Linked DNA regions of Diceros bicornis minor. The protein of the gene in region 2 purifies or fractionates together with the protein of the main gene of each other region. This does not show direct contact. Links are inferred from orthologs where the notes say so. Each region holds a gene or a part of one and is shown on either strand. Other genes may lie near its edges.

Region 1 (7,630 bases), about 770 kb from region 2:
TTCGCGCCGGGTGGGAGCAGAGGCGAAGCCGTCCCCAGAGCCCTTCACAGACGTTGGTGTCAGAATTTCCCCCCTTGCGCCCGCCCCGCCTGAAATGTCAGGGCTCGCCCACTCTTCTCCGGTCTCGCCGACCTAACCTTTCGGGGGCTCCGGAGGGGAAATTCGTCTTTTCTGCCAGACCTCGCTAGAGCGTGCCCTGAACCCAGCCTTTAGTGGATGTTCAAAAATACATTTATTCCATGTTCCAGATGGCTTCCTTATGCCCAGTAACTTCAATTTATTCCCCCCCCCTTAGTAAACAAAACAAGTGAAAATAATAATGATAACTTCCCCCTGCGCATACAATTACTCATTCACTGTCTGGTGAAATGAATTTGATGTGGCAAATAAGAGTAAAATAGGAATAAGAAATTGGTTGAAATCACATCGTGAACTGTAGTGTTCTACAAAGGAGAAGTATTAATCTATACGAGAGGAAGGAACATCCTAGAGGGTGAAATTAGGGTAGGAAGTATTTATTGAGCACCTGCTATGTGCCAGGGACTGCAATAGATGTTAGGGATTCTCCAGTGACCAAGACAGGAAGGTCCTATCATGGAGTTCACAGGATTGAGGAGAGACAGACAATAAATAACTAAACAAAAGAAAATGCTAAAATAATTGCTATCAATGAAATAAAAGGATATATTCATAGAAAACGAGTGTTACTTAATAAGATGAAATGCAAGATATCTGACCCATAAAAAATAATTAATAATCTGGCAGCAGTTTCTTTGCTATTTATTGTGATCAGGCTAATTCTAGGCAGAGTTGCTTTTTGGGACCAGGATCAGAAGGGCCATGGGGCTGCTGTTGCTAATGTAGGGGAGGCAAAAACTTTACCTCTACCTTCCTAGGGTCTCTGGCTGGGCCTGAGAATTAAATTGACATAAAAAAGATTAACAGGAGAAAAGCATATAAATATATTTAATATGTTTTACCATGACCTGGGAGCCTTTAGAAGGAAATAAAGCCTCAAAGTGGCAAAACCCAAATGCTTATATACTGGGTTGAACAAAAAGTGGCAATTGTGGAAAAATATCTAAAATAAAATGGAGAAACTAAAGGATGATGCGAGTTACTTTAACAAGGTCTCTTTGTACAAATTCTGCCAGACTCAACTCCCTCTCTGGTGATAAGAATGTTTCTTTCCTCCTGGCATAGGGAGGGCAGTTCTCACATGCAAGTTTCATCTTCTGCTTTCAGGAAGAAAAAAAATGGGAATCAGAGTGCCTTTCTTGAACCCGCTGTTTTCCAAATTCCTCTAACTCAAAATAATCAGTATGCTAAGGTGGCATATCTGGAGGTGGCATGTCCTGTGTTCCTTCACTGACATTATCAACAGCATTTCTCCATTGCTGGACTGTGAGCTCTACAAAGCAGAACAGCATCTCTTAATTAAATGTTCCAACTGCTGCCGGAAACTGATGATTTTAAGCTCCTTGAAAATAGTCTTTTAGTTTGTACTTCCCACAGTGCCTAAAGACTTGTCAAATATTGAATTAAAAATGTAGTGGATCAGAATGGGGTGGTTCTACCTGGAAATAAGGGACTGAACTAGGAAGTGTCAGTGTTTTCTGGTAAATGGTTTAAATTTTTGGCTTTGTTCTATAAATGTGTGATGAGAAACAGACATAAACTCTAAAGTTAAGAGACTGTCATGAGTGTTGCTGACTTATTAATAAGCAATACTGATAGAATCTATGGTGGGTAGAGTGTGAAATTTGGCATCAGAATATCTGAATTTGACCAAGACTCTGCAGGACCTTATACAGTCATTTCACTCTTCTGGACCTCAACCTCTGCATCTGTGAAATAAAAATTATGTTAATACCTGCCAGGAAGTCAATATATAAAGTCTAAAACCAACAGATGAAAAATATTTTTATGTACAGCATTAGCATATTGTTTAAAAATTAGCATATTGTTGAAAAATACTGAGATAATTACCGTAAGAAATACTTTAAAGAGTTGAAAATATTTGCCTCTGGAGAGCAGGGCTGAGGGGTAGAAAGTACTGAGTTAGAAGGCTGCTGTCTTTCATTATGAGCCTTTTAATGCTGTATCAGTGAGCTACTGCTGTGTAACAAAATCTGAGTACTTCAGTCTGCCTTTAGGCTGTGATGATCTGCTTCAGGTACGGGTACAGGTTGACTGGGGCAGCTCTGTTCCACGTGTCAGTTCTGAAACCCAGGCTGAAAGGGCAGCAGCAACTTCCCTGGGGGAAAGCTCTTCCTTTTCAAGATGGCAATGCAAAAGTACAAGAGAGCAAGCCTAATCATCATGTCAGTGTTTTTCAAGGCTTTGATCAGGTCATGTCTGTTAACATCTCATTAGCCAAAACAAGGATGACAAACCCAAAGTCAAAGGGCAGGAGTACCCTCCACTCCCGCAGGCGGAAGAGGAAAGAGTGAATATTTCTGAAAAATAATCCAATCTACCATAAGTAACATTTGAGTTTTTAAAACCGTGTGCAATGGATTCATTTGATAAAAATTAATGCTGACAGGTCCATTTCAGATCTCGATGGTAATGCAGATGTCTCAGGAGTGTTAACTCAGGTTCGTTCTCTCTCTCTTTTGCTGCTGAACCATCAGTCTTGCCATTTTTATTTTGCTGTGGCTGTCTCATGCTGCAGCAGGCCACCAGCATGGTTGTTTCCTTACAAGAGTTTATTGTGAGGACTAGAGCAAAACAGCCTGTCTTCTCTTGCTTTTCCTAAATCCCTCTTTGGTTCTTGAAATACATATCTGACCACTTGCCTCCTCTCCCTCTCTGGCCCTCCTATTTCCCATGCTCTTTCAAAGCTAAAAAGGGGTGGCTTTTGCCTGCTTCCTTTGCAAACAGCCAAGGGTGAAGTCATTCCAGACTCCCAAAACGTTGTCTTCTTAAAATGGGAAATGATTAAAGACATTTAAATTTTTTGCACAAGTGCAGATTATTGCATAAATGAATCAATTTACAATTATTAAAATTAAATAAAAACCGCTCTCACCACCATTGTAAGGATCCCATCAGATATACGAAAGTACTTTGTAAACCAACAAAAATAACATTATTTCTTGAAAATAAACGTGTTTTTAATATCTAAATTGAAACTTTAAAAACACTTGACGTCTGTAAAATACTAGTCTCATGTGTTACCGGTGAGAGTGCTCAGTGATTCAACTTGTATGGAGTTGCTCAAATGTATTTCCCACTTCTGGGAATTTTCCCTCCAGGTATATCTGCACAAGGACAGATGAATGTCATTCAGCACAGTGCTGTCTGTACAGAAAGTGACTGGAAATAACCCGTTATCGGTAGGGTACCGGTAAGTAAAGTATGGAATATACCTACAATACCATAGTATCTATGGGGGGGGGGAGGAAGTTCTTTTTGATATGAAAAGATCTCCAAGATATTCACTTAACAAGGTGGTGGCGGCGGCAGGAGGGCAAGTGCAGAACAATGTATACAGACTGCTATATTTTTATGAGAAAGAAGGAACATAATAGTACATATTTGTGTGTGCTTGTACTTACATAAAGAAATACTGGAAAGATGCCCAAGAAACTAATAATGTTATCTGTAGGGGGTGGGGATGGAACTGGATGGGGACAGGGCTAGGAGCCCGTCTGTTCAATGTAACACTTATCACTTTGGTTTCTGAAACTAGTGATAAGTATCAATATTCAAATACTTTTAAAAATATAATTTGAGATTATAATTTCGGTGAACTTAATTAATCAAGTACTTGTTAGACCTATGTGCTCAGCACTGCGCTAAAACTGGACGCAGAAGCAGCACTGAGATCCTTAAAAAAACAACTCTGAGAAACGAATGCACGTGCAATTACCGCGCGTAACTGATGAGGCTCACAAAAACGAGGGACGGGCGTGGGCGAGATAAGGCCGGAGGACCTTGGAGAAAGAGTCCTAACAGAGCGGAGGCGACGCGGGAAGGTGACGAGGAAAGAGGAACAATGCAAAGGGAGACAGAAGTGCACAGAGGAAGCGTGAAAGAACAACTCCAATACGTGAAAACGCACGTCGACAGCAAGCCACCCCACTCTCGAGACGCGCATTGCGCAACTGGGCCGCGGCAAAAAAAAAAAACGGGGTAAATCCCGCGGGCGCCGGGGGCAGGCCGGGCCGTGCCACTCGCGGGGGGGAGATTTCGTGAGGATGCGTGAGTCCACGGGATTCTCGTGGGGCTGAGTGTTCCAACTGGAACCATCCTAAGCGCACAATCGGGAGGCCCAATGGCAGGCCGTCCCCCGCGGTTCTCCGAGGTGGGTTCGTCCGGATGTGACGTCACGGATGCGAGCGGCATGCGCCCGCGCAGTGCGGGGGGCGGGGGGCAACGAGCGCTTGGACAGCGCGCGTCTGCGCAATGCGGCACTGAAGAGCCTTGCCGAGCGGCGCGAGTCTGCGCACTTTGGGGGCATGAGGGAGGCGGGGCAGCGCGCGTCTGCGCAGTGTGGGGGGATGAGAAACCAGGCGGCTTGCGTCTGCGCAGTGCGGTACGCGTGCGTGCTTGCGTGAGTCTGCGTGTAGGCCGCTTCTGGTTTCCCAGTCCCGGCGCAGAAGACGAGGGCCCGCGTCTGTGGGAGGCGAGGCTAGGTTCGGGTCGGGGCTAGGGGAGCGTGCGCGTGCGCAGGCGGTGGCCCTGTGGGTCGAGGGGGCGCCGGGCTTGGGAGGGGGCCACCCTCAGGCGGGTCCCCGACCCCGCGCGGGGCTGTACGAGTGCGGCTTTCTCTTGCCAGCGTAGCAGCAGCTCTGAAGCTTCCAGAATTGTGTACATGGCGTCCCAGCAGTTTGGAACTGCTGGTTAAACCTGTGATTGTTGAAGTGGATTTATTAAAATCCATTTTGCATGGTCACCAATTCTAGAAAATAGTCTAAAAATTCTTCAGACCCTGGTTTAGCAGCTTTCGTTTACGATGAGAGCTAAGTGCAAAGAGAGGGAATTTGGTTGGGTTGCCTTTACTTAGGGGGATTCCCATCTCTCTCCATTATTAAAAAAAACAGTGTTCAAATATTTAACACTGTTAACTCCCTCCAAATTTTTAGTATAGTTATTGGAACTAAAAAAAATCCCCTCCAAAAATCTTACAGGCTAATTGCTAACTGTGTATTTAGTTTTTTGCCCGTGAAATTTAGTTCAGTCGCATCCCTATGAAATAGTACTTCAAAGAAAGGCTGTCTCCCCGCATTGTGTGAAATGCAACTTGTGTTTTAGAAAACCTCATTTACAATATATTATTAAAAATTGAATTTTAAAAAAACAAGGTAAAAGAAAATCTAAACAACACTAACACGCATTAACAACCTTACTGTGTTTTCATCTCAAAAAGACAGCATTTGAAATTGTGCTACGTAAGCCAATATTAACCTAAAATGCATTTTTCATATTCAGTTGTGTTTGCCTATCAGAACCTTTTCTCTAGGAGGCACTTAGTTACTCTGCTTAAAAATATTCCTAAACTTAAAATTTTTGGCTTTTCCAGGGTTGCAGTGAATGTTTTTTGAGAATCTTTTTTTTAATTATTTTTTATTAAGTCTTTAAAAAGTACAGCATAGAAATGGCTTCAAAAAGAGCTCTGGTCATCCTGGCTAAAGGGGCAGAGGAGATGGAGACCGTCATCCCTGTAGATGTCATGAGACGAGCTGGAGTAAGTCCCTCAACGTTTTCTAGCCCTCCTCTCTTTTAAAACATTCTTGGATTTTTAAAAATCATTTTGAATAAAATCGTAGTCAGTGTACTTTATGAAATATTTCAAATGTACACAAAAGTATGGAGACTATATAATAATAATTACTTATTTATTCACTGTCTGCATTTAATACTTGTTAACATTTTCTCATGTTTCTTTCAGACCTATTTCTTGAAGAACAAATGCTTTAAAGAAATAAAGTGTTGCAAAGCCCTCTTTGTAAATTTCCCCAATCCTTTTCTCCTTCTGGCCCCAGAGATAACTGCCATCCTCACACTGAAGTGTATCCATTCCATGCATGTCTTTAAAGTAGTATTAGCGTGTAGTTCTCATTTTGCATGTCTATATTATATATCTGTATATGTGTATGTAACCATAGTGAACAATAGCACGTACTAGTGTCATTCTAAGCACTTATATAAACTTGTTTAAATTTTACAGCAACCCTATGAGTTATTGCCATTTCATTTTATGGTTGAAGAAACTGAGGCACAGAGACACCAAATAAAGTGTCCACACTGTAGAGTTAGTAAGTAGAAGAGGCAGTACTCAGGCCCTGGCAGTCTGGCCCCGGAGTCTGTTAACCCAGCGTTCCTCTGGTTCTCATAAGTGAAGATACATATAGATCCAGTTTGTTTATTTAAAATTGCTGTTTAGTGTTGCACTGTATGAACATGCCCACAGTCCATTCTTCTGTTACATTGTTTCACTACACTGTGTATTACAATACTGTATTACGTTACAATGTAATATATTACAATACTGTAATATTCTTGTCCGAGTTGCCATGTGCAAACTTGTGGAAGTTTTTCCAGGCTCTCTGCTTAAAAATGGAATTGCTAGGCCAAAGGATGGTCCATAATTGGCATTGCTAGATTTTGTCAGATGACTCTCCAGGGTACCAATGTGTGGCCCATCAGCAGTGTAGGGAAATGCCAGTTTGTCCAGTACTGGCTCTTGGTACTGTCAACTTTTTTGTGAGGAAAAAGTAGTATATTTTCTTAGCTTGCAATTCTGCTTTAAGAAAATACCATAAGGTTTAAATGGCAGCAGTAACTTTGCAAGATGGATTATTAATAGGATGATCATATATTTTATTGCCCAAACCAGAACACTTGTGGGAGAAAGGACACTAACCAGAGAGGGCGCAGAGGCAGCATCTGTAAACCAGTCCTCTCCCGGGCAGACTGGGACAGACCTAGTTATTAAATATCTTTAGCCAACTTATTAGCTAAAGTCAGCATGGTTTTGTTGCAGTATTTCCTGCCAAGTTATTTTAAAACACAGGGCAGCTGTGAAGTGTTACTCTAAATTTATGTTTCTGTATTCTTAAATATCATGATGGTGTCTTTTTCTTAGATTAAGGTCACCATTGCAGGTCTGGCTGGAAAAGATCCAGTACAGTGTAGCCGAGATGTTGTCATTTGTCCTGATGCCAGTCTGGAAGATGCAAGGAAACAGGTGTGTTCTCCATACTTGGAATTATTCCTTCCTGTGGCTTTTTTATCAGTTTCTTGAAATGTGTTTTGACTGCATCTAAGGCTGTGGTTAGCACAGACTTATTTTAAGAAAGTTACTATGCTTAGATGTCTTCCCCACTAAACTGAGCCTTGGGCAGTCGAGGACTTTGCCTTTTCCACCCTGTGTTCATGGAACCTGGCAGTTCCCTGATACGGCATGTGCTCAGTAAGTGGGTGGGTGGGTGGACAGGACACTTCCATCAGGATTCTGCTGGCTTACACAAGCAGCCTTGCCTCCTGGTATAGCTTTGTTACTTGATATGAGAGAAGCAACTGTCAACGTTGCCTGTTCGTTTCTTATTCTTATTCGAAAGCAGCTTTTTACCTTTTCTCTTTTAGTGACACAGATGTCATTGTGTGACTCATTTTATGT
Region 2 (8,058 bases):
TTGGGTGATTCTGCCTGAAGCTCCTTTTCCAACCCCACCCATTACGTCCATTTGGAAAAAAGCTGAGATATTGCTAGAGGGAAGACCAGGCTCTGAAGCACTAGATTTTTCTCAAAGTCAAAGTGGGGGGGAGCTTTTAAGCGTCCCCATTCTCTTCTTTTTTCACATGGGCAAACCCCTCCTTGGGGCACTTACAGCCAGGTAGAAATAAGAGCCTCTGGAACGTCCCAACACCCAAAGGTAAGAACTATCCCAGATCCCTGGTTTAAGAGTGATTCCTGGAAACAAAGATAAGAGTGCTATAATTACACTCGCACTTGCTTATCTCTTTCCTTTTCAAGAGAGAAAGATCCATCCTATCACACCATATCAGCTTAACTGGTCACAGCAAGCTGTGAAGCAAACCAGTGATGGGCCCTTTTAGGGACAAGGTATCGCCTTACTCCCCTACCTCACTGACCTAGGAGCCAACCTGGCTTGTTTTAAATACCAAGAAGCAGCAAGATAAGGACTCCCATGCCCTACAGCACCCCCACACTCCCCCAGCCAGGAAGCACAACCTACCAGCATGTGCCGATCAGAAAGAAAGGCTTTTACAGTAAGACTTTTCTTTGCCTAAGGCCGTCATTTTTAAAAAGTTTTAAAAAAATGGCATGTGGTGGAAGGAACTATAGTAACAAAGGTGGCACATACCTTTTGAGGTACAGAGATCAACCTCAACAGTGGGATTCCCACGAGAGTCGAAGATCTCTCTGGCATGGATCTTGAGGATAGACATGGCGAATTTCTGTGGGGAAACACAGATCATATTTTCCACAAACCATAATGCAGCCTCAGCTCATTCATTCAAGGCATCACTTCTGAGAACTCCTAGACTTGAAAGAATCTGCATTGGACTAAATACTGGATGTAGGAAGGCTAACTAGAGTGGGAGAGGGCCTGCTGGAAAGCAGGAGGAATTGCTCCTAAAAAAGTAGGTTGGGCCCAGCTCTACAAGGCCTTAATCCCCAGCAGTTCAGGTCTCGTCCTATAAGCAAAGCCTGAACATATATGACTGTACTGGGGAGCAATCAAATACAACGGGAAAGATTAACGTGTTGATGGCATACAGAATGGCTGAAGAGGAGGCAGTCTGAAAACCGGTTATTGTCATTAGTTAACAATGAGGGTTGGCATGGCAATGGAAAAAGACCAAGGGGACATGAAGGTCCCAGGCAAACCCATCTAAGATAAAAAAGGTGGGGTGGGGAGGGAACCAGGAGGAAAATTTGGTTTGTAGTGAAATAGTGAATTAAAAGATGGGGACATAATTCATCAAGTTAAACTTGAGGTAGCAGTAGGATGTTCAACTGGTAGATATTAGATAATTAGAAATTTTCAGTTTGGAGGCCAGGAGTGAGCTCCTTGGTCTGTGCACTGTGATCTTTGCCACTGCCAATTTCCAGGGCTTTCCAACCGCACAGTACTTGAGTCTTTAGCAAGACAGGACACGTTAATAATGACATCTAATTAGTATTTCTTTCAAAGGGCATTTTACTCCATTAAAAAACTCAACTATGAAATGTCATGATTTGTAACTAGAGGAAAGATTCTATTTTTGAAAATACTCCAAGGAAAGAAGCTTCCTTTGAAAACATCTCAAAAAAAAAAAAAAAAAAAAAAAAAAAGGTTTGCAGCTACAAAGTGCAAACAGCAAATTCTCAAAGAAAGGCCTTTTCCTTCCTTCTCCCACCGGCTCTCCAAGGAAGAAATGAATTGAACAACGTGTAGGACTGAAGTGGATGAGAGGAATTGAATTAGTGTTCAGAAGCCATTATCTAACTGGGCTCCCCCCCAATATCTTCTCTGGAATGTTCTGAAGCAGAAAATGGCATCATTTTTTTTTCTTTTTAAGTTTCAAAATTAGATGCTGAAGTCACTTTTGTGGCTTTATTTTCTATGTAACAATGGAGTTTTATTCATTAGCCAATAAAAAAATATCTAGTTTTTATCTACTATCTTACAAAAAGGCAAATTCAGTCAAACGTGTTTTTTAATTTTAGTTACCTTTGAGTTTTGGCAAATTATATACCTGTGTAACACATTTGTCACCCCAAGAAGTCCCCTCAGCCAGTTTCCAGTCAACCTCCCCCGCCCCAAACCAACTGTACTTGATGGATTTCAGATGCGCTTTAAAGCGCATCTTGATTACACTACCTCAGCATACAGCTATAGGAACTCATCTTTTATCTCATTTTAGTGACATAAGACAAAGTAATTAACTTATTTCATGATGTGAAAATAAAATCCAACTGATCTTTATATTGGATAGAAAAACTATTCTCCGAAGTCATTAAGGGTCAGGGAGAGGCTGGTCTGACCACACGGCTTCACCGCTTTTTGTGTGTCTGGACGGAACCCCGGACCACGAGCAGCATGAGTGGACCGGGCGGCCCGGGCCTAGGTGTGCCCTGGAGGCAAGTCAACCGACGGGCCACACAGCCCAGACCACGCTGCAGAGAGAGAGGTGAACAGGAAGTTTCCTCAAAGTACACCTTTTTTAGGTCAGATCAGGGGCCGACTGCTGGCGGCCAGCCAGGGGCGCCGGGAGCAGCTCGTGCCCGACCAGGGCGAGGTCGCCTGGACCGCTTCCCAGCGATCCCCTGGCTCAGCTGCAGCCACTCAAGAGTAAGCATCTTCTGGAGTTGTAGCCACTGCCCATGTCGGAGCAGCAGCTTCCTGGGCATCTCTCCTTTCCCTGCCCCTGCCTCGACTTTAGGGAGGGCCTGGCTTGCATGAGCACCGGGGTCAGGCCTGGACTGCTCCCCAGAACCTTCCCCTCTCCACGCCTGCTCTCTTAAGTGGCCTGCGCCTTCTGGTCCTGACCTCCCAGCACAGTTACGCGGCCCTGCAACTCCGTAGTCACTTGTTGAGCAGCACCCTCCCCTCCGGGAAAAGCAGGCGCCGCGCCCCGCCTCGGGCCGGGGTGCGCGACTCCGGCCGGGGACTCGGCTCGCACGCGCCGGCCCGCCCCTTCCACGTCCCCGCCGAAGCTCCGGGCACGCCGTCCGGGGAGCAGGAACCCCCAGAGGACCCCGCGCCGCCTGCCTGGGTGCGGGCTCGGCAGCCCTTCCCCGAGCACTCACCTAGCCGCCGGATGTCGCGCCCGGGAAGAAGCAGAGAGTGCTGCAGACACCGAGAGAAGCGTTAAGCCAAAAGGCCTGCGCGCTCCCAGTCCCCTGAGCTCGTCTCCGCGCCGCCCCTCCCGACTTCCTGCCCAGCTCGGGAGACCCCGCCCACTTCCCGCCCCCTGCGCGACGCCTCGCCATTGGCTCCCCGCGCCGTCACTCAGGGCCTCGCCTATGGCCGTCACGGCGGCGGGGACGGGGGGACGATGACCTGGGGGGATGGGGCGGGGCTGGGGGGCACCTACTGCACCGCGGCTGTGTGGGGGTGCGGGCGAGCCCCCTCCCCGCGGGGACTCCCTGGCCAAGCAGCGTCTGCGGCGCCGGGGCCCGGGGGCGGGGCGGGCTGGCCCGGCCGGCATGAGGGCTCGGGGCTTCGTCACGTACTCCGAGTCTTGCACGCACACAGCGTCGCTCCGCCGGCGCACGCCCGGCCCACGACCTTGGTGACGACCTTCGCGGCCCGCCCTGCCGGCCCTTCGCCCCCCTGCCCCGCAGCGTGGTGCCGGAGACCCCGTCGGCCTAGAGACGTTGGCGGCCGCGCGCCGCGACCCCGCTCCCGGGCCGCAGAGCCGCGTGCTGGGGGCCACGTGCGCCTTCCCGCGCCTGCGCGCTGCGCCCCGCCGCGCCCCCGGCCGCCCGCCGAGGTGACCCCGACCCTTTGTCCTTGTGCGCCGGTCAGACATGAGAGCCAGGTGGCTGAGAGGCAGTTCACTTTCCTTTAGTTACAGCTAATACTTTTTGAGCGCGGCCTGCGTGCCAGGCACATCTCCACGTGCGCCCCAGAGTTAATTCATTCAATAGCTCTTGTTAATGTTGCTTTTTGCAAGGAGGCTTAATATCCCTCGCTTTGCCCCCGGGGTAGATCAGATGTGCCTGGATGCATGTGAACCATCGTGTATAATGATTTGGACAGGAATTTCACACAGACCCGGGAGATTTCTCAAAGTTCAAACCAGATAATATTCCATGGTAGTCTGGCAAATGAAAACCAGGAAGGGGCGGCTGCAGTGATTTACCTTTCTGTTCAGGAGTTGATACTCATTTAAAATCAGTCCTGCAGCACATCCCCCGATCGCTTCCATTTCTATGACAGTTATATTTCTCAGCATTCGTCTTGGTCTGTAAGTCTGAGAGCTAAAACAGTGTCAGACATTGTTTTACATCTCCATATTTTCCACATTGCCTTGCATAGAGAGATTCAAATGTGTATTTGAATTTAATTCCTATTTCTTCTGGCTAGCTGCAAAAACTGTTTTTCTTCCTTCCCTCCTGGCATTTTTATCTCCCCACCTACTGGCTTAGGTTTCCAAGGCCTTGGGTAAAGGTGATGGTCTGTTGAGCCCACGGTATTTGTTCTCCGTTGACTAAGAAGCAGGAACTTTAGGATTAAATTCAGCAAAAAAGCAATAAGGAAATTGTAAAATATTTCACTGAAGAATTAGATGAATTTTGCAAGCAGAGTTGATGATTTCACCAGCAAGATGCTAATGTTTCAGACTGCTTAAAACCAAGATCCCAGCCCCATGACTCAGCAGCTAAACCAACAGCCAACATTTCCTAAACCTTAAGAACTTTACAGAAATCAGACACTTAGAGCTCTTATTTTCAGAGCAATTCTAAGGCGTGGCCCTGAAAGGGCTCCAAAACAATCTCTTTTATTTTACATTAAAAGGGTTAGAGAGATAAAGATAGAAAGACACGACTCTTCTAACTGCTCTCTGGCCAGAACCAGTGAATCGAGCAGGAAATCAGATGCAGAACATGATCTCAGACAGCTGCTGTCGCAAGATTCTGGGAGGCCACAGCACAGTGTTCTGCGCACTTTGACCTCAAATTGTAGCTCAAATGTTAATGATTGGTAGAGATGCCCTCAGGTCTTTCCCCAAATCCACAGGCTGCCAAATGCTTTTCCTGTCTCCACAGCTCCTGAGGCTTTGTTAACAGGTGTGGGGCTCACATTTGCCTGCACTCCAGTGCAGGGGCATTTACCTTGTTACAGCTGTTTTGTTATTATTTGTCACTCACAGTACAATTGTTGAGCAATTTCACCGCAGTGGCATACCAAAGGCACTTGCCTTGCTGGTGGGCAGGAAGAGGAAGTGAGTGTCCAAGGCTACTATCAGAAGACCACCTGGGGAAGCACTGCAGGTAGCGCCTGCAACACATTTGCAGGTGGGCACCAGGGTTGAGGGAAGGAGAATCTGCAGCATCCTCTGACCCGCCTGGGTTACAGATTCTGTCTGTGGGATGTGCACCCCTGGTTGAAAACTGCTGGTCGACTGAAAAAGTGACATGCCTCTTTGGAAGGTGGGTCTCTAGCCAGATAGGAAACTTCAGGGTTGAATAAGTGGCCCAAGGGAGGAAAGAGATCCTCTGAGAGCCGAAGGCCCTCAGGGGATGCAGGTGGATGGCCCCTCCTTGTGATCGTGAGGTTTGTGTTTGTCTGTCATCATTTCACATATGCCAAAGACTACATAAAGTGTATCTGGTGTAAAGAATAATAAATGAACGTCCGTGTACCCACCACCAGCTTAAGAAATGGGACACTGGCAATGCCAGTAAGGTCCCTTGTGTATTCTTAGGCCACAGAGGTGATCACTACCCTAAATTTTGTGTTTATTATTCCCTTGCTTTTCTTTATGGTTTTTAAATACAAATTTTGAACTTTGTATAAATGGCATCATGTTGTTTGTAGCCTTTTGCTAGAATTCTTTTTTTTGCTCAACTTGACATTTGTGAGCTCCATCCCTCTAGCTGTGGATGGTTGGTTTTCAGTGCTATATAGTATTCCATTGTGTGAATATCACACGTTTTCCTGTCAGTATACATTTGGATTGTTTCCTGGTTCTTTTTTTCTTGTTACCAACAATGCTGCTATGAACTTTGTTGCAAATGTCTTCTGAGCACAGGCAAGAGTTTCTCTAAGGCATATACCTAAATCATACACCTAGATGTGGAATTTCTAGGTCATGGGTATAAACATCTTCAACTTTGTTTTCTTTTTTTTTTTTTAATTTTTTAATTTTTTATTTTTTCCCCCGAAGCCCCAGTAGATAGTTGTATGTCACAGCTGCACATGCTTCCAGTTGCCGCATGTGGGACGCGGCCCCAGCATGGCCGGAGAAGCAGTGCATCGGTGCGCGCCCAGGATCTGAACCCGGGCCGCCAGCAGCGGAGCCCGCGCACCTAACCGCTAAGCCACGGGGCCGGCCCTCAACTTTGTTTTCTAAAGTATCTGTACCTCTATGCGCTTCCCCCAGCAGCCTATATGAGTTCTGACCCAGCTTTAAAAAGAATCAAATTCAGGGCTGGCCCCGTGGCTTAGCGGTTAAGTGCGCGTGCTCTGCTGCTGGCGGCCCGGGTTCGGATCCCGGTTGTGCACCGAGACACTGCTTCTCCGGCCATGCTGAGGCCGTGTCCCACATACAGCAACTAGAAGGATGTGCAGCTATGACATACAACTATCTACTGGGGCTTTGGGGGAGAAAAATTAATTAATTAAAAAAAAAATCAAATTCAGCTCTTCCCTTGCATTTTTTTCTAGAAATTTGATGGCTTCTCAATTTACCACCAAGTCCTTCACTTAAAGAAACCCACGTGTCCTCTCTGTAAACTGCAGTCAGCATTGTGCCTTTATGATGGCTTTGAGGGCACCTCTTAGGGCCTCCCACTGTCAACAGCCCCCTCCCCGCCATCTTCAAAGCTGACCTCACAAAGTCAGGAAGTAGGGATTGGGCAAGGCACACGTTTGGGAAGACAGAAGGGAGGCAGCACAGTATGGTTTTTAAACAAAGTCATTGCTAGAAGGGCATGTATCAGGGGTGCCCAAATGGGAGGAGTAAGTAGTAGGGGGATTAAAGAAAAAAAAAACCCAAGGAAGTCAGGGAAGCAAGGAGCAGGCACCCAGCGAGCAGAGATCTCCTTGGAGGAGCTAATGAATGAGGGAGCCAAGTGGAGACTGAGTGGGGCTCTGAACCAACAGGAGAAAATCAGAGGAAAGAGTCTGTATCTTGTGTCAAAGAGCTCTGCGTGGATCCTCTTGTGCCTGAGCTCATTTATCTTTGAAATGGGTGCAATAATACCAACCCCAGGAGGCAGTCTTGAGCTGTAACACCCCAGGTGGCTCCTATCATCAGTTTGGGAGTCATTACTGAATGCTAGAATGGAGGCCTGGAAGGCACTGATGTCTCTAAAATAGCAGGGGCAGTAGGTCCCCAGAGCAGTTTTCTTTTCATCTCTGTCTGTTCCCACCCATTCTGTCTCACAGTTCTTATGGTTGTCATTTGAAGAGGACCAGGGCGGCTGCAGCCGTGGGCCCAAGAAACCCTGATCTGCAGCCAAGAGAGGGCTCCCCCTGCCTGTCCGCTAGGCCGGCAGCACTGCTAGAGCAGGAGTGCAGGACCCTGCGATGGCCCCACTGCAAAATGCGGGTCACTGGAAGGAAGGAGCCGTCAGATGACACAGTGCGTGAGCTCCAGATGGAAAAGCAAGAGCCAAGTTCTCCTTTCAGAAGGCACTGGCCCCTTGTGATTCACTGAGAGTAGGGTTTTTGCAGAGGCTTTGCGTGGACCACAGTTAATGAGAAAATTCTCCCTCCACCTATCACAGAGATGTTACTGAGGCCTTATCGCCTGCCAGGTATAACTCGTTGAATCCTCATGACAAGTCCATGAATAGGTTCCATGTGATCTTCTCCACTTCTCAAGGCACAGAGAGGCTGGCTGACTTGGCCAAGCCTGCAGCTAGTGAATGGAGGCACCGGGGGACCAACCCAGGCAGCCTGGCTCCCCGCCCTCGCCCCCAACCACTTGGCATTGGCTCCTCCAAGATGAAGTTCACCTCGTCTGTGGATTTGAATGAGAGGCCACAACACTAAACTTAGTCCAAGGAG
Region 3 (7,792 bases), on a different chromosome or scaffold from region 2:
CTACCTAGTCCCTGGCTTAGCAGGACGGGCAGGGGAGATGGATGGGGCTTATTGTTTGGCATTGATGATGTCCACGAATTCAGGCTTGAGAGAAGCACCACCCACGAGGAAGCCATCCACATCAGGCTGGCTTGCCAGCTCCTTGCAGGTTGCCCCAGTCACAGACCCTGGGAAAGGAGAAGAGAGAGGGAATGGTCGGGGATGGGATGGGTATACTCCATCTCTACCTCCACATCTAAGGAGCGCTCAGTCTAGTTCTCAGCCCACCCCACCTCAGAATGGAGCCAAACCGACTTACCTCCATAAATGATGCGGGTGTTCTGAGCCACTGCATCAGAGATGTGGGACTTAAGCCATCCCCGGAGCTTTTCATGTACTTCCTGGGCCTAGAACAAGAAGCCAGACTAAGTAAGACTTTCTGCCTTTCACTCAAAGGGGAGAAACCCGGGGTACCAGTGGAGAGAGGCAGTGTGGTTTTGGGGCAAGAACCCTGGGATCTAAGTCAGAACACAAGGGCTCCAATCCCACCTAGGCCTTGGAATGGATGTCCTTGGACAAGTCACTCTCCTTCTCTGGGTTGAGGGCCTGTCTTTAAAATGAGAGGGTGGCCTCGATGGTCTCTGTGACTGTCCAGTTAAACAAACATAACCAGCACCACGCCCTTCTCCTTAGGAGGGGCTATAAAATAACAAACCTCTTTCCACGGCAGGGGAGGATGAGGCAGGGGTCCTGGGGTGGTTACCTGTTGGGGTGTTGCAGTCTTGCCAGTACCAATGGCCCACACAGGTTCATAGGCCAGGACAACCTTGTTCCAGTCCTTCACGTTGTCTGTGGGACAGAGATCACAGATGGAAGGGTGAACAGTAAGGAGCTCTCCAGCTCCTTTCCCAGAGAATGAACAACAGTGGTGGCCTACTGCCTTCTGGTGGCTGTTGAAGAAACTCCAAGGGGCATCTATACCATCAGGGGCAGGAGCAGAAGTGATAGGGAGGATGCAAGGGTTCTGACTCCCCTTTCCTTTCCAGCAAGGGGATCAAGTCAGGCTGGAGGGCAGTGGACCCCACCCTCTGTGCCTCCGTGGCCCTGGTTAGGCTCAAAGATCCCTTTCTCCCGAGATACCTGCGATGACCTTGGTTTGCTCAAAAACAACCTTCTCAGTGATGCCAGCTTCCCTCTCATCTAGCTTCTCCCCAATGCAGGCGATTACTCCAAGTCCCTCCGCCAGGGCGTGGGCCACTTTCTGCCCAATCAGCTGTTGAGGAACACACTTGGTGAGACACCCCTCTTGGAATAAGGCATCTCTTATCTCCTCTCCTGGTTACTAACCTCATCTGACTCCCCGAAGACGTGCCTTCTCTCCGAGTGCCCCAGGACTACCCACGTGGCTCCACAGTCTTTGATCATGCCAGGGCTAAAGGAAGAGATAAGCCCTGGTTCAGCAGGGAGCCCACCCTGTGGCCTTCCCCTCAATGAGGAAAGTGAGGGCAGGGTCCCCACACACCACTCTCCCGCCTGCATCTCACCTGATCTCTCCAGTAAAAGCCCCATTAGCCACTTTGTAGCAGTTTTGTGCAGCCACAGCGATCTTCTGATCTAGCTTCTGCCGGGCGAAGTCAATGTAGGCGGTGGGGGCTGCACAGACCACCTCTGAGGAGAAGATGGTGGCACCGGGGGATGAGATCACAGGAAGCCTTCATTCTCCACATTGCATCCTGGGCTCTGGAGCCCCCAGCCTTCAGCCTCTTTCTTAGTTCTGCTTTCCCCTCCTTTTCACTCCACCAAGATGATCTGTGTCCACTTCCCAGCCCAGGCTGGGCCTGTATCCAACTCCTTGGGCCTTCCAGGTGCCCCTCAGAGGCCACGGCCCTCGCCTTGCCCTCTGCTCTTTTAACAGCTGTGGCTCTGATTTCCCGGGCTATTCTGGGCCTGGGCACCTCCTAGACTCAGCATTCTCTGGGGCCAACCCCGCCTCCCTTCTAAAATAGCCCATCCCCATATAGGAAAGGCAAGGCAAGGATTTTTACCAAAAGCAGAAGGAGCCAGCTCCTGGGGTTTGTACTGGGGTCTCTGGGGAATAAACCAGAAGGGGATGCCTCTTTTGATCAGGCCCGTGGTTCTATGATTTAGGTGGGTGGGAGGAGAAGGGCTGAGGACAGCACTCTCTGCCCGTGCGTGGCAGGGAGTGGACTGACTCATAGAGCCCTTGCGCTCTCCCGTTTCCAGGAGAAAACGGAGAAAGCTGTAGGATCGCTCCTTATTCCCAAATGGCTCAGCCTGTTTGGCACCTGCTCAGCCCCTTCGGCAGAAAGCAGGAGTCATCCAGGCTGCCGAGGGGAAACGATCAGTGCGCGTAGGCTCCGGAGGCCGAGGGAGCTCAGCGGGGGCCTGAGCAGGCAGCAAGGCGCGGGGAGGAGCCTCGGGCTACGTGCGGCGGCGCACGGAGCCGGTGGCCGGGGGCAGGTAGCGGGAGGCCCGCACGCGCGCTCAGCCTCCTCCCCCACATTCGCAGGCTGTCGCCAACCTCTCCCAGTCGCCCACAGAGGCTAGGCTCCGCTTCTACCCCCGGCTCCTGGCTGGTGCAGCCCCAGTCCGCGCCCGGGGCCATCTTCCTCCCGATGACCCAAGAAGTCCTTTCCTGTCCCACAGTCCGAGGGCACCATTAAGTGGGGCCCCACCTTTCTCTCTCGACGCACCCCTGATCCTGCGGTTGCGGGACCAGGGGCGCTGCGGGGTCAAGGCCCGGACCCCCAATAGTCCTTGTCCCCATCCCTGCATCCAGGCCCACGCGGACACCCGGCTAAGAGAGGTCGGGAGAGGGCGCTCCCACGCCCGACCCCCCCAACCCCGGCCCCGACCCTCCCAGGCCAGGGCTCACCGGTGTTGGCCGGCAGCTTGGCCGCGTTCAGAGTGCTGATGAGTTCCCCCAGACTCTTCTTCCGCCCGTTCATCTTCCAGTTCCCCCCAACGAAGAACTTCCTGGAGGGCGCCATGGCGCTGGGACCGGCACACTGAAGGTCAGTATCAGCGCGCAGCCGCTGCCACGGCCCGCTTATGTAGAGCGCGGTGAGGCGGAACTCCGCCTCCTGCCCGTGCTCGGCCATCCTCGGCCCGGCCCCTGCCGGGAAGCCCTGCCCCCTGGCCCCGCCTGCGCGCCCGCCGCCGGTGTTGCAATGTTCTAACGTTACCCCCTTTCTTGTAGCAACGTTCTAGGGGCGTCCGGGGGCCCAGTCGCTTCAGCCTCAATTGCCTGACTTTGGGGAGAAGGCGAGAACTGTAAGCCCCTGTGCTCAGGGGAACCCCTACTCACCACTGCAGCCCTCCAGAGGCCAGAGGTGGTCCCAGGGGAGCTAGCCGGCAGGTCCGACCCCTGCTTGGCCTTAGACCACACTGCTCGGGGGACTGAGAGAGCTCTGAGGGTCATCTCTCCAACTCTGGGAAAAGGAACCCCCTCCGCCCATCGGGGTACAACTACATCCCCGACTGCTGAGCAGGAACCTTTGACCGACCCAGGGAGTCTAGCCCCACAGTTACTGGTCAAGTAAGAGGGTTTAGAGGGGGAGGGACCGCCCACATTGGCATAGGAACTGTGTAGCTAAGAAAGAGGCAGTTCAGAGTCTACAGCCACCCACTCCCCACACACACACCAGGAGTAGCCCACTCTGCTCCAGCTGGCCAAGGCCTGACAAGACTGCAGGGCCTGGAGCCCAGGCCCAGGGCTCCCTGGCCTCTAGGGACATTTGGGAAATACCCACTTAGGCCTCCTCTTCTGTGACTGCTGGAGGAAACCGGCATTCCTGTTAGCCCCAGGGAAGATAAGTCTCTTCCAAGGTATCAAAGAGGGCACAATTTAGCCATTGTACTTTTATTCACATCGTGTATTTTGGCATTTTCCAGAGAAGGACAGGGAAGAGACAGGGTGGGGGAAAGACTGAGGCAGGAGAGCGAGGGGGCCCCCATTTCCCTCATATCCCTCCTTGACCCACCACACAGGGAGCAAACACAAAGGGGGAGGGGAGGCACGGACACCCCCTCCTGCAGAAGAGGCTGCACAAAGCTACACCCAGGCACACACACACACACAAGCCCCCCTCCACACCAGGGGCCGGCGGGATTACACAGGGAAGCAGAGCACTGTGCGGTCAAGGGTCAGGGAAAGCAACAAAGTCTCCTCACACACAGGCGCCGGCCCTCCGTCCCCTTCCTGCTCTATCCCGAGTCTCTCGAGTGCCCACCCACTTTGCTTGGCCATTTTCCTATGGCCTCTAGCTTCTTCCCTGCTGCTGGGGACAAAAAGAAAAAGGGTACAGAGCAGGGGGTGCTGAAGTCCAGCCCTCAGCCCTCAGCCCTCATGCCAGGTGGTCTGTCCCCTGCCCTCAGTGGTAAGGGGTCAGAGGGCAGGCTCTTAGCTGGCCACTCGCTGGTAGAAGTAGATGTAGCCCAGGTCCTTGGGTGGCTTCTCAGAGGCACACACTTTCTGGTCATTGTAGATCACCCATCTGGGGAAGTGAGAAAGGAGCGGAAAAGGAGGAACAAACTGGGCATTCCACACTGCATCAACTCAGTCTCTCTGACATGGCCCCTGGAGATGATCCTGGCGATTCTGGGGCAAAGGCTCCCAACATTCTCTGACTGGGCCCCCAAACCTACAGTCCAGCTGCTACCTGTCTGAAGGGAGCATCCCAGTCTCACAGGGGTCCCTTCCCTTCCTCACTGTCTTCAGATCCTGCAGTATCTCTACAGCTACCCCCCACCCATTTCTGTTAGGCAGGGGTCAGCAAACTTTTTCTGTAAAGGGCCACACAGTAAATATTTCAGGTTTTGCAGGCCATCTGGTCTCTGACACAACTACTCAACTTTCCTGTTGCAGCGTGAAAACAGCCACAGACAATACATAAATGACTAAGTGTGGCTGTGTTCATTAAAACTTTATGTATAAAAGCCGGTGCCCAGACTCAGCCCTTGGGCTGCAGTTCGCCAATCCCTGCCTTCAGGCATTGTCAATTCCTGGTGTATTTGCCATCCTTTACCTCCTCCCACAAATACTCCAAGGACTTCCAGGATGTCCCCACTCATTCCCACCTCCACTCCCCCATTCAGAATGCACACTGCAGCCCCTCCCTCACCTGCCTTCCTTCTTGATGTGGCAGACGTAGTGACCACACATGGTAGAGGTGCCCATGTGACTAATGAAGGCAAAGAGCTGATACTCTAGGGAAGGGGAGACAGAGGGCAGAGAAGACAATGAGAGAGGAATCCTTGAGTGACAGTCCAAAGATGTATCTAACAGCTCAAACTCAGGACATGAGGGTCAAGGAAGGCGGGGCATATATTGGGTCAAAAGTCTGTCTCAGCCTCCTAGAATCCCACCTTCAGAAGTCACGTTCATGGAAAAGCTTCTGACCCCTCTGCCCCCTGAGGGAAGCAGAGCTGCCTTGGAATGAGGATCTGGCGTAGCAGACTGGCTAGATGCCACCAGGCCTGTTCTGTTTCCCAGGGACACTCACTTCCAGGACCATCCCGGACTTTAGGTCCCACTGGCACAGACTCAGAGATGGAGTCGGCAGCTGAGCGGCCCTCCGAGATGTCCATAGCAGCTTCTGCATCGAGGTCATCAATGTGACTGAAGATCCAGTCCACAGCCCGTTCTAAACTATTGTTCTTGGAGAAGAGGGAAGCATTACTGTTTGTAACAAGTTCGTGGCAAGAAAACTACCAGTGAAGGCCTCAGCTCCTTCATCACAGCCACAGAAGGGTGCAGCCCTGGCCTTGGCAATACCATTCCAGTTGTCCCTGGTCTTACTCATGAAGGATGGAACCTCACTCCCACCTCCTTCTTCCCCACAGGCTCCCAGTCCTCAGCTGGGGGCAGCCCATACCGTGGCCCGCAAAGCTTTCAGGGCCTGGTCCCGGGAGAAGCCCATGGAGACAATGGTGGTCACACAGTCCTCTGGAGGGGGGTCAGCTGCTGCACTTATGGAGCCAGGCCCGCTGGAGCCAGGCAGGATGAGGGGGTTTGCAAAATCTGCAGAGGTGAAGGGGTTGAAGTGTTTAGGGGAGCATAGTGGTCTTGCCCCGCCCTGCTACCCACCCCTGCCTACCTGGATCGTCCATGTGCGACATGACCCAGTTCATGGCAGCCTCGGCCCCACTGTTGCCTGTGTAGTAGACAGCTTTGCGGCAGGCATCCATAGGGAAGCCCATCTCCACCAGCTGGATAATGACTGATTCATCCAACATGGGTGCTGTGGTGGGAGAAGTGTGGGCACTGTGACCTGTCTCCTTGGGCCACTGTCTGCTCCTCCTCCCTCACACAGTCCAGCCCTCTAGCCCTCTTTCCAACCACTCATTCCATGCATTTTTCTTCCATGGCCTGGCACCTTATTCCAGAACTAAAATGACAACACAACATAATGTGGGTCCAGCCGTATCCTAAAGGTGCAGGACTGAGGCTAAAGATCCCCCATGGATCCCCTTCCTTGCCCATTCTCACAGAATGGGCCCCGTTTCTGGAGTATGGTACCCGCCCCGACCCCCAACCTGTGAGGTAACAAGGGTAGAGGTGATTAGCCAGTGCGACTGCCATCCACACAGAGAATGTGGCTGGGAGTGCTCTAGTCGCTCCTCACATCCATCAAGCGGGCAGAGGAAATGTGAAAGGGAGGACAGGAGAAATGCAAAGGACAGGGCCACGGGGAGGCAGGCAGAGAAGACCCATGTCAGCAAGGGAGAGAGACGGGCAGGAAGAAGAGTCACTAACATGTTGGAGAGGAGAAGTGAGGGGAGCAGAAGGAGTCTTCGTCTTCGTTGCCATAGAAACCAAGGCTACCTTTGGGCTCATCCGGAGTGACCAGGGGTGGGGCAATGTCAGGCAGCTCCTCCTCTCCAGGCTGCAGCCCGGCACCCCTCAACTGGGAGATGTCCAGCTCCTCTGGCATCTCAATGGACACATCTGTAAGTGGAATGGCAGGCAAAGGGTCACCTCAGCAGCTTCCAGAGGCCCTCCCTGAAAAAGCACTTTGGAAATCTCCAGCCTCTTCCCCTTGTCTTGGCACTGCTCTATAGTAAGGAGCTGCACAGAGCAGTACCAATCTTAGGGGTCCCAGGGTAATAAAAATAACTGTGGGCCTGGGAGTCAGGAGACCTGGATTCTAGTCCTCGATCTACCACACTTGAGCTCTGGGCAGGGAAGTGGGGCTCCAACCTGTGCAACAGAATGATTCTATACTTCTGTAGTCTCAACTGATGGAGGAAATAAAGTTACATCAGCAGTTCTCCAAGTCGTCAGGGGCCTCTGAGACCCATAAGAATGAATTGTTTCAAGATAGTCAAAATGAAAACATCTTATCAATCACAAAAATAAAACAATGAACATCACTTTTGGTTGTAAATCATAACTATAAAATCAAAGAAGTCTTTTAATATTTTTAGTCAGTGCTTTTCAAACGAGACACACTTTGAAACATCTAAGGTAATATTTTCTCCTTTCAGAGGAAAGTTTGAGAAACACTAGTTTACATGTGTTAAGGCCCCTTCTTTTTCTAGCATTTTCTGCTTAACCTCCCTTGCTCATCCCAGCCACCATACCCAGTTTCTTGGGCACCCAGTCTAAGCCGAAGGTGAACTTCTTGATCTGGATGACCAGGTAGTCAGGGAATGAGGCAAATCGTGTGGTCCTAGAGAAGAGAGAATGTCCTGGTACCCAGAGAATCCCAAGGTCCTCCTCTCCTGAAACCCCCACCCTGGGGTTCAGCTTCTCGTGGGTAGAAGACCTAATCCCCCAGAAGATTCTCCA
Region 4 (7,276 bases), on a different chromosome or scaffold from region 2:
TGAAAAAAAAAAAAAGTGTACTGGGGAAACACTTTGTTACATAGTTGGCTATAAAATACAAAGCAGCAAAGAATAGAGTTTAGTTACATAGATTCAAGAGAGTAAAAATTGTCTTTACATATTTGAGGGAAACTAAATCACAATAAAACCCAAAACCACTATGAGGGATTCCAGCAATAATTTAATAGTTGAAAGCATGACATTATTTTGGATGGTAAAAAAATAAAAAAATAGTCTTCACTACACCTGGTGGTGTAGTGGTTTAAGTTTGTGTGCTCTGCTTTTGCAGCTTGGGGTTCACAGGTTCGGATCCTGGGTGTGAACCTACACACCACTTATCAAACCATGCTGTGGCAGTGTCCCATATAAAGTAGAGGAAGATGGGCACGGATGTTAGCCCAAGGCCAATCTTCCTCAGGAAAAAAAAAAAAGGATTGGCAACAGATGTTAGCTCAGGGCTAATGTTCCTCAAAAAAAAAATAAAAAATAGTCTTATAGTCTTACTTTTAAGAAGTTTATAATCAAATTCATAAAAGATAATTAGGTAAACTATCATTATTCTTACTTTGGAAAGAACTTGTCCCAAATATAACTCATTTGGTAGCATTACCTTACCTGAAATATATTGTTCAAATGTGTACTCTAAAAAGATATCGGAAAATGGGGCATCTCAGAGATTAGGCATGAAAAAGATAATAACACACTTCACAAAAGAGGAAACCCAAATGGCTAGCTGATACATGAAAAGGTCCTCAATAGCATCAGTAATCAAGGAAATGCAACTTAAAACCACAATGATATACTACTACATACCCACCAGACAGGCAAAACTGAAGACTGATAATACCAAGTGTGGTTGAGGGTGTGGTACAACAGGATTCATACATGGTCAGTGTGAGCATAACACTTTAGAAAACAGCATGGTGTTATTTACTCAAGTTTATGACACACATAACCACTCCCAGGTATATACCATACAGAACTATAGATGTGATGGAAAAAATCTATGAAGGATGTTCACAGCAGCGTTTATAACAGCCCCAAATTGGAAACAACCTAGATGTCCATTAACAATAGAATGGTTAAATAAATTATGGCATATTGCTACAATGGAACATTTGTAATATGCAGCAATTAAAATGAACAGATTACAGCTATATGAACCCAAACAACGTACAGGTTAAAAACGATGTTGTGCAAAAGCAGTAAGCACAACAGATTACAAATTATGTTGTTCCATTTAATAAAGTTCAAAATAAAGGGCAAAACTAAACAATATATTGTTTAGGGATGCATGCTTGTGACAAAACAATAGAGAAAAACAAGGAAATGATTATCACAAAAGTTAGAATAATGGTCACCTCTAAAAGGGAGGGAAAGACTTGTGTTCAGGAAGGTCACTGGGGGGCTTCCGGGGTGCTGGCAATGTTCTATTTCTTGACCTGGTGAGTCACACTGAGGTTTCTTTTATAATTACTCATTATACTGAATAACTGCTTTATGCATTTTAATGTATATTTCACAATAAAAATGCTAAAAGTAATTGAATACTGTAGACAGCATTTCTAGAAAGAAATTTTGCCAGATAATTTAGCTTATGAAATCTTTGACAGTAAAAACCACTGATGTGGGATAATAAAACATTAAACAGTTTCTCATAAGAGCTCACTTTCAAGCGTAGGAGAAAAGAACCCTACGCAAATATCCCTTTGTTATATTTTAACAGAGTATGCAAATCTTTATCACAAACAAATTGATGAACCGGGGAAAGAACTCTGTTACCTCAAACTTCAGATTTTTTTGGAATTTTGAATGAACCGTTTTCTCCCCTGGATTAATAAGAAATGAAAGAACTAAAGAGATGTAGACCACCATGGAAATGTATGAACTTCCTCCTCTCCAGTCACCAGTTCCAGCTGTTTCCTCCAGTTATCATGCTGGGTGGTGAGGTGGGTGGATCTTGCCCAGTAAGCTCAGTGCAGCTGTTACTTTGTAAGTAGGTGGCTGAGGGCTCTCCTGAGTGCCATTCTGTCTCTCAGCACTAAGGTTCTAAGGTGGAGCCACTGACAACGAAAACAGATCAGGCTGCTGAAAAACCCCACGTGGTACCCACCTTTCTGGAGGCATCCTCTGCTGGTTTGCCGTGCTCTGATGTTTGCACTCTTTTTATCCAAAGCCCATAGAATTTAAAATCTGAGGTGCTCAGGCTTCACAAAATCCGCTATATCTGTGCGTTTTACTCTGTCAATTTCCACCAGGAAATTAGCAAGAGGGGCAAAACCAAAAAAGATCTATTTTGTAGCCATGTTGGGCCATCACTTAGTGGTCTGATTCCCTATGAATCTCATTTGGAAGGACATGGCAGGGGATTGGTCATGAAAAGACAGTTAAATCCAGGGTAGCTTAAGCAGGATAGTTAACCTGGCTCTTGGAACTTCGAATCAAGGGCAGGTGGGCAGGTGCCACTTTGTGAGTCTCTTCTTGCTTCTGCAACATCCCCCTCCACCTTCCCATCACTTTTTCTGTGCACTTTTCTGCACTTTAATAAAAATGAGCCCCTGGATTTCCCCAGTTAGAAGTTTCCTTGGTTTACTGTTTGCATGCGGCGGTGGCAGTTGCGGCAGAAACTCTGAGCTTCCCAAATCTCTCTATAAAAACTTGCTCCTTATTCCCTGAGGCGGAAAGACTTGTAATATCCATTATTGCTGCTTCTAGAGGAGGTAGGGTGTGCCAGGGTCCAGCGACAGAACGGTGGAATCCGCTTCCTTTCATCATTGTTGCTGCTTTCATCTCATTCTCACACTGTTCACCACGACAGGTTCAAGAGAGATTTCTGAGGATTCTGGTTTTTTTACCCTAAAATTTATTTTCCTAGAGAACTACACTTTCAACTTCATGAGTTTTTACTTGAATTTACCTTCCAGGATAACATCTGTAGGAAAAGCTGCACAATAGTAATAATATTTATTTTAGAAAGGAAATAGCCTTTGAGTCAGACCTGAAACACAGGCCAAAATTTCTTGATGACGGTAACGGACACTGATTAACAGCCAAGTCAGCTCTCCAAAGCTTCAAACAACAAGCAAGAACGATTCCTAAAAGTGAGGCCCTACTAAATTCTCCCCCTGAAAAACAGTCGACAATCCTTCCACAATCTCTGGGAGGATGGCTCCCTTCCCTCACCCCGGTAATTCCCCTCCTTTTTCACTCAAGACTCAGGTTGTGACTCCGTACTCAAGCCGCACCCCTATTTCCTTTCATGGGAGGGGGCGGGGGGAAGAAGAGATGTATTACAACTCTAATCTTTACAATGCTATGCAGTTTACAAAGCGCTTGCAACTTCCATCAACTCCTCTGAGCTCCGCGAGCGCCACGTGAGGCATTCATTCATTCATCAAACATTTGCTCCGCTCGACCACACGTTATCGGGCGCTGGGTCTCACCCCACACCACGAGAAGGGTGGAGTGCTCGCTCCCTGGAGCAGGTGCAGAGGGTCAGGCTGTAGGACAACTTCTCGCTCAGTCAGGCTTTTCGAAAGCCCATTTGGGGCCAAATGCCTCACCTTCGGGTGGTGTGCGCCCGAGCATGGCCGCGCGGCCTGGGCCTCCTCCTCGCTCCCAAAGGAGCAGTCACCACCTGCCCTGAAGGAAACCGCTAAGAGCAAGCTCTCTCCGCCGCCCTCGGGTCAGGGGTAAGATCAGGCGGCAGCTTAGGCTCCACTCGGCTCCTCCCCTTCCTCTCTTCAGTTCTGACGCGGCCGTAGAGGCGGCGGCAGCGGCGGCGAGTCCCGCGGCCCCAGTCGCACCCACCCGCTCGCCCAGCCCCGACTTCCTCTTCCCTTTGAGCGTCATCACAGCGCGCCAGAGTCGCCCAAGGCAGGGTGATTGGAAAGAGAAAAAAAGGCCAGCGGAGGAAGCCTCCGAGCGGAAAGACAAGGGAGGGGGGAGGAGAGCGGTTGCTAGGTGACTTGCGTCATCGGTCTGCGCCGCTTTCCTCCCGCCCCTCTCTCTGGAGTGAGGCGAGAGCCCCGCACAGAGCGAGCGAGACAGCGAGCTGAGCTCCGGGCGCTACCGCCGCCGCCGCCGCCGCCGCCGCCGCCGCCAAGAGCGTGAGAGCGAGGGAGCATCCGAGAGACCTAGCCCCCGTGCACTGGCCGCCGCCAAGACCTCCGCCCTAAGCTGGGCCAGCGGGAGCCGCCGCCACCCCGCCTCTCCCCCCCTCACCTTCCCGGCCGGCAGCGGCGGCTGCACACGCCGGAGCCCGAGCCTGAGCCCGAGCCGGCGGCTGGGGGGCAGGGAGGCGGCTACTCGGGCCGGGACTAGTGAGCTGCTCCGCGGTGAGGGGACGCTGAGGAGGGGCCGGAGCTTCTATCTCGTCCCGGGGCGCGGGGCTCGGGACCCCCAAGGTGTAGGGAGGGGGGCCCAGCCGCAGCGACACATGCGGGAGCCGGGAGCGGGGGCGGCGCCGAGCGGAGCCGGCCGGGTCCCCCACCTCGCCGCCGCCTCGGCCACCCTCCCGGGCCCGTAGCATCTCGCCCCGGAGTGTATGAGCCGGGGCCCCAAGCTCAGCAGCCACCCCCCGACCGGGGGGGCGGGGACCCCGATGTGAAGCGGCGGCCGGGGCGGCGGGGAGAGCAGGACCGGCGCCGCCGTCCTTTCCTTCCCTTCCCCCTCCCCTCTGCCCCCTCGGGGGTCTTCTCCCTTGGCCAGTTGCCGGCCCCCCGACTCCTCGGCTGGACTCCGGGAGGAGTTCTTAGAGCCCCCTCCCCCGCCCCAGGGCGGCGGGGCCGGGGGGGACCCGGGGGGCCGGCCGCAGCCTCCGCCCAGAGGAAACTTTTATAAAGATAAAATCCGGAGCCTCCCAAACCTGACTATCCCGGGAGAAGTGACCCAGGACGGGCAGGACACACAGCTTGAAGAGACCCAGGAAGAGGAAAAGGAGGTAAGCGGGGCCGCCGCCGCCTCTGCTCCGGCAGCGCGGAAGAGACCCGAGTGGCCGTCTGCTTTAGCGACACCAGCACCGCTTCTTCCTCACTAACTCGCCGGAGCCTTCCGCAGCTGCCGCCTCGGTGCGAAGGAGGAAGGGAACCAACCCACTTTCCCAGCGCCACGGCTCTTCTGTAAAGTGTGAGTGGCCGGGGAGGGGGAATTGAGGGGTAGCGAGTGGGAGGATGCCGGTGGGACCTCCTGGAGTTTTGCTGATGTTTTCCGGGAGTGTTGGGAGTGTATGGATGAGAGGGTGTACCCTAATACCTCACTGCGGGGAGGAGGTATTAGGTAGTCCTGTGTTCTGGAACCTTTTAGCTCTTTGTACGTGTAATACGCAAGCTTACAGGTTTCTCTTAGCGCTGAGTTCTGTCTTTCTCTAGAGTGGACACTTGCACCTTTCTGCCAGTAATTGGCAAAAGGAAATTGAGGAGGCCAGAACATATGTGCACACAAAGGACATCTCTGTAATATACCTTTTCCTGGTACACCGGTGTGAGTAGCGCTGTAGTTCTTGTTTCTGGGCAAATCTTATTTTGCTTCCCAAGTGGGAACCTCTTTTACCCTGTGCACCCTGAAAGTAAAAGTCTTTTCTTTTTTCTACAGTCTTCCTTGAGAGATTTTCCTATTGGTACAAGAGTTTTTTACCTTCTCGTTTTTGGGGTCCAGTTCCTGTGGGTCAGGAGGATACTGTAACAGATTTTAATCACTCAGGAAATTCTGAGTTCTTAAGAATCACAACTTTTGGGGGAGAGCGTTTAGTACTTTAACTAGTTTATAAAAGTTGTTACATTTTTTCCTTTCCTAAATGCTTTTTTTTTTTTGGAGTAGCATATGTTCTAATTGCTAGCGCTTTTTTATTTGACACGAATGACTTGAGGCTTTGCTTGTTTGTGTTGTCTATACTTCTCTATTAAATGAGGAGAAACTTTTCGTATTTAATTCTTTGAAGAACGATTTTTTTCTTCCCTTATTTTATTTTATTTATTTATTTATTTTTGTGAGGAAGATCAGCCCTGAGCTAACATCCATGCTAATCCTCCTCTTTTTTTTTTTACTGAGGAAGACCGGCTCTGAGCTAACATCTGTTGCCAATCCTCCTCCTTTTTTTCCGCCAAAGCCCCAGTAGATAGTTGTATGTCATAGTTGCACATCCTTCTAGTTGCTGTATGTGGGACGCCGCCTCAGCATGGCCGGAGAAGCGGTGCCTCGGTGTGCGCCCCGGATCTGAACCCCCGGCCGCCAGTAGCGGAGCGACTGCGCTTAACTGCTAAGCCACTGGCTGGCCCTCTTCCCTTATTTTAAAGGTGAAGTCTATAAAATCTTTGATTTGTGTTTTAGATATCTTCTCAGAGTGCCAAATTAAGGTGCAGGAAAGTAGTTAACATTTTGTAAATTTATACAGACCTTAAGCATTAAGTGTAGGGTGGAATTTTATATAAAGAACATAAGCAGTACTATATGAGAATGATGGTTCCTCCAGACAACTGTGTGGGTTCGCTGTTTCTGAAGCCACTGCTGAGAGAAGCTTTGTGGGAATGAATGTAAGCCTGGGGTTATCTATGCTGACTTCTCCAGTCAGGATCTTGATTAAATTTATTTAAAACTTTCTCAAACAGTGTTTTCATCCTGTACTTTTCTCTTTTGAAGTAATGAGTTCTACACCCCCTGAATTATGTAACAATTCATTTATTTATCCCAAACCTCTTTAAAGTTCCAAGACACATCCAGAGTTTGTTTTGAAAAATTCTAGAACAAGCTGGAGTTTATCTTTTCCTGGTTTTATAGATTTTGATTGTTCCTCTTTACCATCATCTTTCCTGACTCTTTTTGTCTGTCTTAGAATAATTTCTTCAATCCCTTTGGTCACTTTGCTCTCCTCTGGAACTTCTCCTGCTGCTTTGTTTTTCTTTAGGTACCTTGTTCTTGTCATGCTTTTGTAAGGAGCCTTAAATTCTGTCTATTTTAAATGGGTACTGACATGAAAATATTAAGCAGTGGATATAATGTTAGATGTGGAATCAAAAACAAATGTCTCTGGATTTGTTGTCTTATTTTGTGACCTTGAGGAAGTCATGTATCCGATGTTTCACGAAGATAGGAAGAAGAGAAATCTAGTCTTGCATAGGCTGTTTTTGGGGGAGGAAAGGAGGGCAAATCAAGAAACTATAATTTGTACTCCATCAAATTGCTTACTAACTTGAGGACTTTTTGTTGCTTTGACCATAGATTGGTTAAAAATCATGGTAATGTTTTATTTGGGTAGCAAAGAAACAACCAAGTATTTGGG

Evidence for each region.
Region 1: the proteins of ENO1 (region 2) and PARK7 fractionate together in Homo sapiens (co-fractionation; 3 studies listed by BioGRID). This does not show direct contact. The link is inferred for Diceros bicornis minor from reciprocal best matches to the Homo sapiens genes ENO1 and PARK7.
Region 3: the proteins of ENO1 (region 2) and TPI1 fractionate together in Homo sapiens (co-fractionation; 4 studies listed by BioGRID, with this or other methods). This does not show direct contact. The link is inferred for Diceros bicornis minor from reciprocal best matches to the Homo sapiens genes ENO1 and TPI1.
Region 4: the proteins of ENO1 (region 2) and FBXW7 purify together in Homo sapiens (affinity purification with western blotting; 3 studies listed by BioGRID, with this or other methods). This does not show direct contact. The link is inferred for Diceros bicornis minor from reciprocal best matches to the Homo sapiens genes ENO1 and FBXW7.

What each region holds. Positions count from the first base shown.
Region 1 is NC_080752.1:27,789,230-27,796,859, forward strand, and holds the start of PARK7 (Parkinson disease protein 7), read left to right. Parts: upstream 1-4,570; 5' UTR 4,571-4,643; intron 4,644-5,582; 5' UTR 5,583-5,605; coding exon 5,606-5,695; intron 5,696-7,096; coding exon 7,097-7,198; intron 7,199-7,630. UniProt on the Homo sapiens protein: Multifunctional protein with controversial molecular function which plays an important role in cell protection against oxidative stress and cell death acting as oxidative stress sensor and redox-sensitive chaperone and protease.
Region 2 is NC_080752.1:28,557,446-28,565,503, forward strand, and holds the start of ENO1 (alpha-enolase), read right to left. Parts: upstream 3,206-8,058; 5' UTR 3,126-3,205; intron 788-3,125; 5' UTR 779-787; coding exon 694-778; intron 1-693. UniProt on the Homo sapiens protein: Glycolytic enzyme the catalyzes the conversion of 2-phosphoglycerate to phosphoenolpyruvate. In addition to glycolysis, involved in various processes such as growth control, hypoxia tolerance and allergic responses.
Region 3 is NC_080756.1:54,878,342-54,886,133, forward strand, and holds the start of TPI1 (triosephosphate isomerase), read right to left. Parts: upstream 3,117-7,792; 5' UTR 3,102-3,116; coding exon 2,876-3,101; intron 1,648-2,875; coding exon 1,524-1,647; intron 1,412-1,523; coding exon 1,327-1,411; intron 1,253-1,326; coding exon 1,120-1,252; intron 829-1,119; coding exon 743-828; intron 387-742; coding exon 299-386; intron 168-298; coding exon 49-167; 3' UTR 1-48. Other genes in the region: USP5 (ubiquitin carboxyl-terminal hydrolase 5), read right to left, coding at 4,403-4,496, 5,124-5,208, 5,505-5,658, 5,877-6,022, 6,099-6,242, 6,758-6,949, 7,585-7,673. UniProt on the Homo sapiens protein: Triosephosphate isomerase is an extremely efficient metabolic enzyme that catalyzes the interconversion between dihydroxyacetone phosphate (DHAP) and D-glyceraldehyde-3-phosphate (G3P) in glycolysis and gluconeogenesis.
Region 4 is NC_080750.1:40,825,933-40,833,208, reverse strand, and holds the start of FBXW7 (F-box/WD repeat-containing protein 7), read left to right. Parts: upstream 1-4,084; 5' UTR 4,085-5,127; intron 5,128-7,276. UniProt on the Homo sapiens protein: Substrate recognition component of a SCF (SKP1-CUL1-F-box protein) E3 ubiquitin-protein ligase complex which mediates the ubiquitination and subsequent proteasomal degradation of target proteins.